Oryzias latipes: one gene and its partners. The protein of the gene in region 2 purifies or fractionates together with the protein of the main gene of each other region. This does not show direct contact. Links are inferred from orthologs where the notes say so. Each region holds a gene or a part of one and is shown on either strand. Other genes may lie near its edges. The genes, in order: eif4enif1, lsm14a and c1qbp.

Evidence for each region.
Region 1: the proteins of lsm14a (region 2) and eif4enif1 purify together in Homo sapiens (affinity purification with mass spectrometry; 3 studies listed by BioGRID and IntAct, with this or other methods). This does not show direct contact. The link is inferred for Oryzias latipes from reciprocal best matches to the Homo sapiens genes LSM14A and EIF4ENIF1.
Region 3: the proteins of lsm14a (region 2) and c1qbp purify together in Homo sapiens (affinity purification with mass spectrometry; 3 studies listed by BioGRID and IntAct, with this or other methods). This does not show direct contact. The link is inferred for Oryzias latipes from reciprocal best matches to the Homo sapiens genes LSM14A and C1QBP.

What each region holds. Positions count from the first base shown.
Region 1 is NC_019863.2:612,807-616,888, forward strand, and holds the start of eif4enif1 (eukaryotic translation initiation factor 4E transporter), read right to left. Parts: upstream 2,812-4,082; 5' UTR 2,567-2,811; intron 2,009-2,566; exon of another isoform or gene 1,881-2,008; intron 1,616-1,880; 5' UTR 1,580-1,615; coding exon 1,490-1,579; intron 1,415-1,489; coding exon 1,341-1,414; intron 1,001-1,340; coding exon 873-1,000; intron 742-872; coding exon 467-741; intron 281-466; coding exon 82-280; intron 1-81. UniProt on the Homo sapiens protein: EIF4E-binding protein that regulates translation and stability of mRNAs in processing bodies (P-bodies). Plays a key role in P-bodies to coordinate the storage of translationally inactive mRNAs in the cytoplasm and prevent their degradation.
Region 2 is NC_019861.2:30,568,047-30,572,047, forward strand, and holds the start of lsm14a (protein LSM14 homolog A), read right to left. Parts: upstream 2,811-4,001; 5' UTR 2,602-2,810; coding exon 2,478-2,601; intron 1,949-2,477; coding exon 1,785-1,948; intron 785-1,784; coding exon 634-784; intron 399-633; coding exon 204-398; intron 1-203. Other genes in the region: transcription initiation factor TFIID subunit 4, read left to right, coding at 3,527-4,001. UniProt on the Homo sapiens protein: Essential for formation of P-bodies, cytoplasmic structures that provide storage sites for translationally inactive mRNAs and protect them from degradation. Acts as a repressor of mRNA translation. May play a role in mitotic spindle assembly.
Region 3 is NC_019872.2:21,256,205-21,260,229, reverse strand, and holds c1qbp (complement component 1 Q subcomponent-binding protein, mitochondrial), read right to left. Parts: upstream 2,820-4,025; 5' UTR 2,689-2,819; coding exon 2,436-2,688; intron 1,532-2,435; coding exon 1,381-1,531; intron 1,301-1,380; coding exon 1,207-1,300; intron 1,129-1,206; coding exon 1,033-1,128; intron 952-1,032; coding exon 826-951; intron 748-825; coding exon 598-747; 3' UTR 351-597; downstream 1-350.

The DNA of each region.
Region 1 (4,082 bases), on a different chromosome or scaffold from region 2:
TGTGAGAAACGGAACAGACCCCCCAGCAGTAATGATTTTCTGGCCAACTTTAAAACAGTCTTCAATGTACATGTGAGCGACCTTCTTTGATGGGCTCCGTCCGCTTCCTGGACCTCTTGGACTTGCGTTTATCCTCCTCCAGGATCTTGTCGTCAAATCCGGTGAGTTCGATGGTTTCCGACTGGCTGGTGGGGCCTCCTGAGAACCACTCTGGCTCCTCCTCAACATACGAGTCGTTTCTTCTCCTCTCACTAAACACACGTTTGTCACCAAAATCTCTCTGCCAGTTCAGAAAAGGGGTCGGTGGACATGGAAAAGGGAATAACGATGGACTACTGAATGCAAAGTATTGAGAACTTCTTTCAACAGGGTTATACTAAAATACAAGACTAGTCATCATAACAGGATAATTTAAAGAAAATTCTTTAAAGAGACCTAAATGTTTGTAAAAATGGAAGAAACCAACCCTGAATCTTTTATCTTTGAAGTCTCTCTCTCGTTCTCTGTCCTTCTCTACTCGGGCTTCTCTCTCAAAAACCCGCGCTGGGATGATGCGGCCGCTGCCAATCCTGCGGGGGCCTCCAAGACGCAGGCTCTCATTCTCCTTGTTTTCCAGAGGACTGGTTGGGCGACGGACGTGAGCAGCGGGTAGGGCGTTGCCTTGACATCCACTGCCAAAACTACGGCGCTGTGGACTAAGTATGACGTCCAAGTCGTCCTCCTTCAACCGCTCACGGGGATCTTCATGGAAATAGGTGAGAAAAGAAGTTTCATTCAGAAATTTCAGTAAATATTCCTGAAAGCTTGAAGTCACAACTACAGAAAAGTCTTGTGGTATTCCCACCACTGTCTCACTCTTGAAGTGCACATACCTGGGATTCTTCGCTTTAAAGGAACCCTTTCATCCATGTAGTCCTTCTTAAAACCTTCCACCGGAGAGCTCCGCTCTGAAGTTGGATAGAGTGAGGCATGCCACTTTTCTGGGTCCCAAACTCCATCACTAAAGAACAGTTTTTAGGGGAAGGTGAGCAAAGAAATGTAACATAAAGATCAAGTAGGGCTGGCTGGTTAAAACACACATAGAATACGTTTCAGTATTTTTGGAAGTATATACTAACCCTAAAATTAACCAACCAACCAACCTCAGAGTAATTGTAACTGACATATCCTGTTCGGAACAAAAGGTCAAACTGTTGCGATTTTAGTCACTAAGTGAACTAAATCTGCCACAATCAAATGTAAGCTGATAAAATATGATATATAATCAAGAGGCAAAAAAAATATCTATGACTAACCCTTGAAATAAAAAAGAAAAGCATTTCACAAGGAGACGGTTTTACCTGTCATATTTCTCTGAGAGACACTCAGGCCTTTGATTGGAAATGGGAAGCTCTTTTATCCTGAGAAGCTCTTCCTGTGCACAAATGCTTGTGTTAAAAGGAAAACGGTGTGGAATAAGCAGCAACGTTTAGCTGACGCGTCTCATCACCTTGGTGTATCTGTAGGCAGACGTAGCCAGTGCCTGTTGCTTGGACTCAGTGGACGCACTTTCATTCTGTTCTGAGGCATCTTTGTCCATGATGCAGGCAAAGCGGTTCCAGGTAAACTACTGATCCTGTTGAAAACGGCAGAATTTCACATTCGTTTGGTGTCATTAGAGGCAATAAATAAATAATTGGTCAACTTCTTGATATTAAATAAGTTTCAGAATCAGACAATGTCTTAGCAGGAAAAAAAAAAAAAACCAAACCTTTAAAGAAAGTTTCTTGTAAATACATCAAACAGTACACACAGATAATTTGTCAAACCCAAAATACTGTACTGGTACTTATTTTGGAGCTTTGCTGGCATAAAGCTTATAAAATATATATTTTTTTAACCTTGTAATCCTTGGCTTGGAGATGTTGATCTTTTAAGCAGAATCATTTGATGGGGCTCAAAACGCTTCAAATCAACGGGGATCAAACTTTTCAAGTTGTCCTCCATTTGTGGAACAACCTCTTCATCCGTCCATTGGTGGTTTTGGTCTAAACTTTTCAAAGTCATCAAAACCCATTTGTTCCGGAGGTTAGTATGTTGTTTATAGTTTATTTCCATTAGCTTTACATGCATCATGTCTACTATAGGATTATTTAAACTTGGTTGGTAATTGTAGTTTAGTTTTTTAAGCACTTTGTTTTCAAATCTGTAATTAAAATAGATATATACTGGGGGGGGAGTTAACTCACTTAACAGTGAAGACCCAAACCATCCGTCAGTGGAGACCAATTAGTGGCTTAATTGAAAGCATCCTGACAACACAAGTGGCAGTCAATTACAATGAATCGCAAAATGTTTGCGACAAATGTTGATGCCACCTGGTAACAAATTATTAACTACAAGTAGTATTTTTCCTCCACCCATTTACCTCAACATTAGAGAACAACAATAAACACAGGTTGGTTAATTATGGTTACCCGAGTTGAGACAGTCCGATGCAAACCCCTGAGAGTTGAGGGGATGGCAAAAATGTGATTCAACAGAAACTTGTCAAAAGCATCTTGAAAAACACAAACAAACAACTTACTCAGTTGAAATGATGCGTGAAATACTGCCGAACAGCTGCACTTCACGTTAGTTAGCAAGTTAGCCTAGCGCCTTTCGCTAGCTAACTAGCTGGGTAATGGGGATAATTCCCACCCCGCAAACAACAACTCATAAGGCGGTCGACTTTTCCAAAGAGCTATATTGTTACAGGCTATGGCAGGGTAACTCAAAATAGTATTTCTAGTCCAAATAATTAATCGGGTCGCACAGAAACTCTGTAATCACAAATTATTGTTTGCTCTTTCTCTTGTTTCTTAGTCGTAGCAGCGAATTTCCTACAATCACCGCTTTAAGAAGGTCCTCAGAGAGATTAAAAGGTGCCCGTCGCGCCTTTGTAGAATTTAAATTTTTGTTACTGAAGGTGTAGGAGCAATCTTGTTCTTATTGCTTAAATATTATATAGACGTAATAAATGTTTGTTAATTAATAAAATCGTGTATATTTATTGTGAAGTTTTTTGTTGATGAAAAAACACCAAACACTTCATTCATTTAATCTGGCATTATATAGAATACCTAATTTTTTCAGGGTATGCTTGATTTTTCCCCCTCAATCTTGATCTCGGAGTGATATTGTCAGAAACTGCCGTCTCCACCCCTGTGGGCGGTTTTGTATTTTGTTTAGTATTCCTCCAAAAGCTGAGGACCCAATGTGACTATCATCTAAAATATATATTTTATAATAATATACACACATATATTTCAGTTCGAAAAGTAGAACGAGTACAGCAGGACTGAGTTTAAAATAGAAAAGTGTAATCCATAGTTACAATTTCTAATGTCTTATATTTGAGCATTGCCGCCTGATGTTACCGTTTCTAGGGGTCACGTGACAAGGAAAGTTGTTCAAATTTTAAGTTTGCGACTATGCGATATGGTTTCCGTTCCTTGTTAGTTGAACTACGATGCAAATATGCAACATAGTTCAGTCAGAGACGCAAAGTCGGGGCTGCAAGTCGGTGCAGAAACAAACAGGAAGTGCTTCACAGAGCTGGACATCCCTGCTGGAAGACTCGATGAACAAACTAGATCGGGTTCTAGGACTGTTAGCTTACTTCTTAGGATTTTACTGCTGTGATTATTGAGTTTTATTGCTTTACCACTTCATGCATTTCACAAAGTTTCTAATCATTTGGAAACACAGATTCTCCTCCAGGTAACATTTGACAGTTAGCAAACTTTGTTTTGAGTTTTCAAGATCAGAGTTGGGGAAATCCTTGATGGTCTTGCCATTGCTTACCAGTCTATTTATTTCTTTGACTTTATTAGAGCCTGTATACTAACTGGCACGAGCCTTGAATTCATGCAAAGGTGAGTGCTGGACCTCTAGCGGGGAACTGCGAGCAGACTGTCATTAGGTCATCTGAGGACATCCTATGCTTGAAAGGTACAAACTCTACCTGAGTGCTGTTTGCGTTTGCCAGCCATTGCTTTGAAGGTATATTATTTGGACGTTCCGTAACCAGAGAAATTCAGCATCACTGAGGCAGGAGAAAG
Region 2 (4,001 bases):
TTTTTTTAAATCTAAATACAAATCTATTGAGAAGCCCAGCATTTCACATTCCAAAATGGCAGATGCTTCAGCGCTTTTGGGGCAGTTGAAACCCAACAGAACACAATGCTGCCAAAAGTGGTTTTATTGCATCAAAAAGATCCATTTTTAAACCTCTTAAATAGATTTGAGATATTTAAAAGAACCACGGAGGCTACTGTTACCTTTCTTCTGCTCCAGAAGGTCAGGGGGTTTCTGGCTGCCCGTGGAGGTGCTGGTGGGTTTTTGAGCAGTCACTCCTGACTGACTCCTCTGTCCCACAGGAGCTGGCGGAGCGGGGGCAGCTGCAGGTGGAGCTTGCACCGCCTGTTCCCCCGAGGAACTTTTTATCAAAGAGTCCAGTGGAGGGCTTGCACGTCCTGCAATAAAACATTTAAAATGATTTATTTAAAATTCACAATAAATAAAAAAAAAATAAAATATACAGGTTGTTTCTGAATACCATGAATAGAAAAATAAATGTAAGTTGAAATGTAAAGAAACCAATATAATAACAGGTCTTTAACACAGATTATAGATCCCTTCATTTTATACTTACGTATTTAATAAAAAAAAAGAAAACATGAAATTTTGTATTCATGCTTTTTTTCTTACCTCCAGCTCCAAGGGACCCAAACTGTTGGGGTCCAAGGGGAGTAACGCCAAACTGGCTGTATGATGGAACAGGGGCCCTGCTGAATGGTGCATAGGACCCATGAGACTGAAATGAGGATGCTGCTGAGGCATTTGAAGATCCAATTGATGACTAAAAAAAAGAAGAGAGATTCAGTTTTTAAAGACTGCCATGGCATTTTTGGTTGTTTTTGTTCATGATCACAACAAAAATACGAATGACTCGGTTGTTCAGGAAAAGGGGAACTGATGGAGTTCATTACAACAATAAGCTTTGGTCCACAGTAAGACAAAAATCTACCTTGATACAGTTATAGATATTCAGATGGAAATGGTTTTATTTTTTGCCTCAATGTTAAACCACGTAGTTCCTCAACATCTACTACCCTGCCTGTTTTCCACATCTCCCTGCACGTCTTGATGCTGATTACCTGGATCAGGTGTGTTTACTCAATCAGAATGAGGAGTCAGCAGAAAGCGGTACAGATACATCTGTAAAACACACAGGCTGGTAGCTCTGATGTAGGTTCTTTAGTAGAAAATTTGAATCCAACTACCGGTATATTTTAGGCAAATTCAAACAGTGGCTTAAAATGTGCTAAACCAATGAGGCCCCTTTTATCTTAAAAACAAATATCTATTGGGCATAAAAAAAAAAAAATTACACACAACTTGTGCTGTTAATCAGCTCAATATACATCCAAAAAAAATATAATCTACATGAGTTGCTAGTGTGATTCTGAGGGTGTTACTATTGTAACAGATTACACATGAGTCTGGGTAATTCCAAAACTAATCATTTAAAAAAAACATCTTTTCATTTGCTATTTTGGACAGTGTCTTAAGTTTTCAAAGCTGTAACCTGGAAAAAGGTTCAGAGATTTCAAAATTCTAATATTGCTAATATTGGATAGTACCAGAAAAATTATGTGGAATGAAAAGCAGGAAGAGGAACAATAAAGATCTTTTAAAAGTAGATTGCACGATCAGAAAAGAGCTGTGTGTGCTTGTCATTTGAACCTGTACTGCTGTAGATGAAACCCAGCTGTTACTAATTATCTCTAAGGCCCCTTACTACATTGGGCTGTGCGAAAAGAGTTGCAAAGGAGAAGTGTCAAACACAAAAGGCTCACCTGGACTATGGCGGGATCCTGAGGCAGAGAACTAGTGGCTTTGGGTGGTTCACAAACCGTTAGGTCTTTTATATCGCTGCCTCGGAAGATGATGTACTCAAACACTTCCTCCCGGGGTGGAATAGGCCTGTCGGTGGGGCGATCTTCAGTGCCAAAAGACCGAACTGTAAAGAAAATTAGAGACAATTTGAATATAAAACAAGCATCAAAAGATACAAATTTTTACTCCAATAATACGAAATGCATAGGGCATGTAATTATGTACTTTTTTTTGTAAACATGTAAAACAATTTTTTATTGGAGTCTAATTTGATACTCAACATGCTACTAGTAGACTTTTGGAGTTTAAATACAACAGTTAGAAAGTGCGAGTTTAATGTCACTGATAACTTTAATTTTATTAAAATTGTTAGTTTTATACAACCAAAAAATAAAACTATTTGAATTTAATTAAACTAATGGTTAAAACAAAACCACGTTAACTTTTCATACAAGTCATTTGTGCTCAAAAAAAAGAAAAACTACGTAAACAAAGGACGCTGAGTGTGCACCACAACACAGCTAAGCTAGCAGATGCTAGCTTTAAGCTAGCAAACTGCGGGAAAATTGTTTACATAATGGTTTCCTATACCATATACCACGTTTTTGGTCATTTTGGAAAGCTAAAATCTATTCGTGTGTGATTATGCTTACCTTTAGCGAGAGCTACTGTCGAGTTTTCAGTGTCGATGGTGTACAAAATTCCTTCATATCGGATCTCGGCCTTTGAGATTAGGCTAATTTTGCTGCCTATGTACGGCGTCCCTCCTCCGCTCATGTTTGCCTTGCTGATTTAAATACGCCACTAACCTTTGAAGAATGCCCTTTAAGTCAACCTAGAACAAATATATTCAACTTTCCGATGCGCAACTTCAAACCTACATACCACAAATACAAAAGGTAACCCTGAAGCACATTAACCCGCTCCGTGATCCCTCTCACGACATGGCCGTTTTCATTTTCCTTCCCCTGGCGCTAAGCATGCTGGGAGAAAGGCCGTAGTTCACAAAACTACATTTCTGCTCCGACACGCATCTTGAACAAGAACAACCAATAATTTTCGCTAAAATGCTCTTTTAAAAAATGAATTGTTTTGATTGTGAAGTTAAATATTAGTAATTAATAATATATATTTTTTGTAAAATGAATTTCTGGAACTATTTTAAATAGCAAAAACCACTTCCGTGAAGAATTTAGCAGCATCTTGTGGATGTATTATTTATTTATTATGTTGTAATAAACTCCATTAGTCATTTTTTATGTTGTTATTTAATATCAAATCTTTAGAGAACAAGGTTTTTGTCTGGTGTTTTAAAGTTCTGTACACCATTTTGCAACTACAGCAGCATAAAACACGGGTCAATATGTGTTTTTGAAACCTATTTTTAAAACATCGTAAAAAAAGTTTTAAATACATTGACAATGATAAGGGTAAAAAAGGGAAATAAACAAAAAATATGCAAGTATGTATGATAGTAGATATAAGGCGTGGATAAATACATAAGTACATAAATGAATACGTAATTAAAAATGAAAAAAATAAGTAACGAATAAAAAAAGAGAAGAATAAATGAATAAAAACGTCTTTAATTCACAGAACCAAAACAGGGAGCTCAATTAATGACGTCAGGTCCATTCCCACAATGCCTAGTAACACGCAAGCGCACTGTAAAAAAACAGAAGACGACTATCAATGATCAGAGATGGCGGGCGCCTCCGACCCCTTGGAAGATATGCTTTATTCAGAGGTGGATGAAAAAGCCGTTAGCGACCTGGTGGGTTCATTGGAGTCAGAGCTTACTGGACAAAGCACCCCGGTGGGCAAAACAGACGAAAACGGAGGCGCTGGCTCTGTGCCCCCTGCTAATCACCACTTAGGAAAAACGCTACAACCTCCAGTGAGCATCACAACACTAGAACAACAACAACAAGGACGCCGTTTAAAACCCGAAATGCGCCAGGAGATCAACTCTAAAGACGTTAGCCAGGATAAAACTGACACATCTCCTTCGCTGGGCTGTGCTCCGTCCTTCGGCGAGCCCTCCGCCACCTCGCCCGCCTGTGTGAGCGCCAGCAGCAACGGTTCGCAATCACATGGAGCATCCATCACAACACTGACCGCGTCCAGTGTGTCAACTCCTCAAGACAGCATCAGCACCGCATCCAACCGAAGCACTA
Region 3 (4,025 bases), on a different chromosome or scaffold from region 2:
GGGAGGAAGGGGGGCGGGGTTGCTTCTTAGGAGGAGCTTAAGGTTTGATCAACCTCTATTGCACATAAACAGTTTAATATTGTTTTTCCATTTGTTTCCTTTAAACAGTTCTATTCATTTCTAAATTATAAAGAATCTTTCAAATAATTTCAGTTTTGAAGCATCTGAACTTGTTCAAGTTTTACTGTATTGAGAAAAATGTAAGGTGATGATTATGATCTAAAACCTTGAATTGGTTCTGTGTGGAATTTGTGTGTATTTATTTTGTTTTTAAGCCACCAACAAAATGTCAATGTTCCTCAATAAACATAAAAACTTCCTAAAGTAAAACCTCAGAATGTGACAAATTCTCGAATGAAAACTGACAATTCTCTTTATTAGCTTTAGAACAGGTCTTGATTGAACGTTTACACATTTAAAGGGGACATGAGATGTAAAATAGAGGCTGAGAAACTAAATGATCACTATGGCTGACAAATATTTCTATTGAAGTTACAGAAAAACAAGCAACATTCTTGTTGCCGGGTGCCAAACATGAGTCTTGAGTGCTTTAGTCCTTTGAAATTTCATCTGGAGAACAGACAGTTAAGTTAAATATTAGTTACATTTGACAAAGCTTTGGAGATCTTCCAGGAACTTGATGTACTCTTGGTGCTCTATGGCAGTGCTGAGCTCCATGAGCTCGTCTGTGAAGGTGTTATCAATGCCGCGGTCGGCCAGGAAGTCCATCAAATGATCGTACAGCGCCTAAAAAGAACCCAGCAGAGTTGAGAACATCCCACCTTCATGACCCCCCGTGTGCTCATGGTTCACAGCAGCTCTTACCCAGTCCAGGGAGTCTGTGTTGAGGGTGTAGCTGGTCTCCTTCCACTCAGAGTCTCCCTCTGGCTGAAAGCTGACCTCCCGGATGGCAAAGATGTCGCTCTCCTCCTCCCCCTCACCATGACTCATCTACATTGGATAAAGTCGGCACCTTTTTACCTAACCACTTCATCCAGAAGTTTTTCTTTCTTTCTTCGTTTTAATTCATACCTCATCCTCAGGGAAATGACAGTCAAACACGAGCGTGTGCTTCCCATTCTGTTTTGTTACTTCAACAACAAAGTTTGGCGTAGATACAATCTCTGGCTACAAAGGAAAACAACAACTAGTGAGCATAAATAAATGATAAGATCACAAATCTAGAAGGTAATTCGAAAGCTTCACCTCTTCCTCTGCTGGTTTCTGCTGCTGCTGCGCTTCCTCCTCCTCCTCAAAGCTTGGAGGGATGCTGTTGTTAACGTTGAATGTGACCGTCACTCTGAAGACAGAAAATAAAAGCTGCTTTGCAGGAACTCCTACACGGTCACTTTGTCCTCAGAGAGTGAGCCATCGCCTTACTTTTCACCAGAAAGGTGTCTTGTGAGTTTGGCCTCTGTGCCGTTCATCTCAAGCTCCCATCCTCCAGACATCTTAGGAAGGGTTTTGTTTTTCTGGATCTTCTTTTCCTCTTTGATTTCATCGGACAGGAAGTTACCAAACGCTTTGTCTCCTGAGAAAAAGACAACAGATTTAGGTGAAACTGTGTGATGTAGAATGGACAACTTGATAAAAAACATGAATCCACATTTCACACAGGATGGGATGACAACATAACTTTATATGAGTAAACTATTGGCTTCGGCAGAGGGGATTTGGAAAAACTTATCAGTGAACCTTAATGTTTTATGTTTAAACATGTGACAAGTTAGAGGTGAAAAAACTTGATAAAATGCATTATCTGAAACAATTGTTACACAATTACATACAAAATACCTACATCGTGTAGAATCTTTAAGTGTTGATGGATAACACACCAGCGGAATATTCAAAAAAACAAATGCTGACTGAGTAAATACAGATGTAAATATAAAGGGACTCTTCACTTGTGATTAGTTTAAAATGTTAAAAGCTCCACTCCAATCACCTCCCGCTCGATTGTAAAAGCGTTCACAGTGGGGTTTTTTTAAAAATAATAATTTTGACGTTTTTAGCCAAATCTTTATAAAACCTGTGTCGTTTTCCAGGAGCAATTTCTGCCGAGTGGAAGGAGTAAAGAAAAAAAAAAAAGAAATAAAAACAAGCACTTTTAATGAGGAAAATCGGGTCACTGTAAAATTCAAATAGTTTGTGAAGTCTGGAAATTAGCAGTACTGTTGCTAAGCGACAAGTTAAAACATCAGTTGATTGTTTATCATCTAAAGCTTTGCCTGCCAAAGTGATGTCAGCTCTTTAGCTCCTAAACCAGGATGCAGCACGCTCGCCGTGTCGTCTAAAACCCCAATTAACCGCCACGTGTCTTTCAATTTTGTAAGCAACTTAAGCTGTTTTGCTGCTTTAAATAACCCAAACTTGTGTTTACAGGTTCTCTTTTTTTTTTAGATAAATGAAACAAAAACATGCGGACGTTCAGCTACCTTCCGTGTGCAGCCCTCCACATCCACACGACACAGACGGACTTAGTACTTTTGAGCTGAACAGTTTAGGTCTGTATCCCGACGGGGCTCCGTTACTGTTCAACATCCACAGGGAGCGGGTGAAGGGCCGAGATGCAACCGAACCAGGAGAGCGGTTGGTCGGACAGCTGAGCGGCAGAGCCCGTGCAGCAGCGGATGGTGCCGAGGACAGCCGAACAGCAGCTCCCACCGCGCGGACCAGAGACTTTAGCATGATACTATAAACTGTTTAAAGAAGAGAGAAAAATAAGAACACGCAGGCACCGACGTACTACCAGGAACGCTTCTAGAAGACACCGGCAACACGTGTGGAAGGGCACATTGACCTAGCGTAACTATGACCCCTGAACCGGAAGTAGTACTTAGTTCAGTAAACATTAGTTTTATATCAAATAGTTGACTTTACTTTACTAAACACTAAACACTAACTGATTATATATGATGGTAAAATAGGATGGTAAAATTAAATGGAAAAACATTTTTAAAAAATAGCTGAAAAAATATGATGCACTTTTAAAAAACGTAGTGCATTTTCAGTGGCGCCCCCCTGTGTCTTCGATGTGAATGTTTTATTAGAGATTGTCTGCCTTCTTTAGTGGCGGGAGTTCTTTATTTATTTATAATAAACTCGACAGCACATACAAGTGAAATAAAATTTGATTAAATAAGAAATATCAATACAATCTCAACCGGTAGAGGCCCGTCATGTAGAAACATTGCATCATCCTTTGCGACAATATATATTGAAATTGTAGTCTTGCTGCCATCAGATGGTGCTGTCTGACATGTTTTTAAACCATTCAACGCCCACTATACAGCCAATTCATTTTTTAAGATAAATTTATATGCTTTTTAAACCCCTTTATCAAAGCCACGAAAATTTGCTAAATATATATATATAAATATATGTAAAAAGATTATTTTCTATTCTATAAAAAAATGTGTTCACCATGGAAACTACTGTTTTCTAAGTTAGGAAATTCTGTAACGGTTTGGACTGAATCTGCTAATTTACAAACTATCGGTTGCGACTGTGACCGCACTTTTTTTTTTTTTTTTTAAGGAATCAGTTTGAAAAAAAAAGTCTCTTTGTTGTCAGACTTCCCTAAAGACAGTACAAAAGCACAAAAGCAACTTGAGAGATTTATGTCCCCACATTTTTGAAGGAAATTATTCAGACCTAAAGGGTGAGTTTAGTGGTGTTTTTTTTTAAGTTTCTTTTTTTAACTTTTCTTTATGAACACAGTAGCTTCTGTGAATTTAGCACAGATAATGTTACCATGAATTCCTGATAAATGTTGTAATTATCTTGACTATTTCACATATAATTTAATTATTTGAATTTTACATATATACATACATGTAAATATAGACCAAGAGCTTTTATGTATCTATCTTTACTAAACCTTTTTAAAGGTAGTGGCTGTAGATAAGTTTGCATTCTTATGTGGATGGAAATTCTGCTGTTGAAAAAAGGCCAGAAATGATGCAAAATGTTACTAAAAAAACTCCCATAATTTCCATGTTATTGACTTGATACCACTGTAAGTT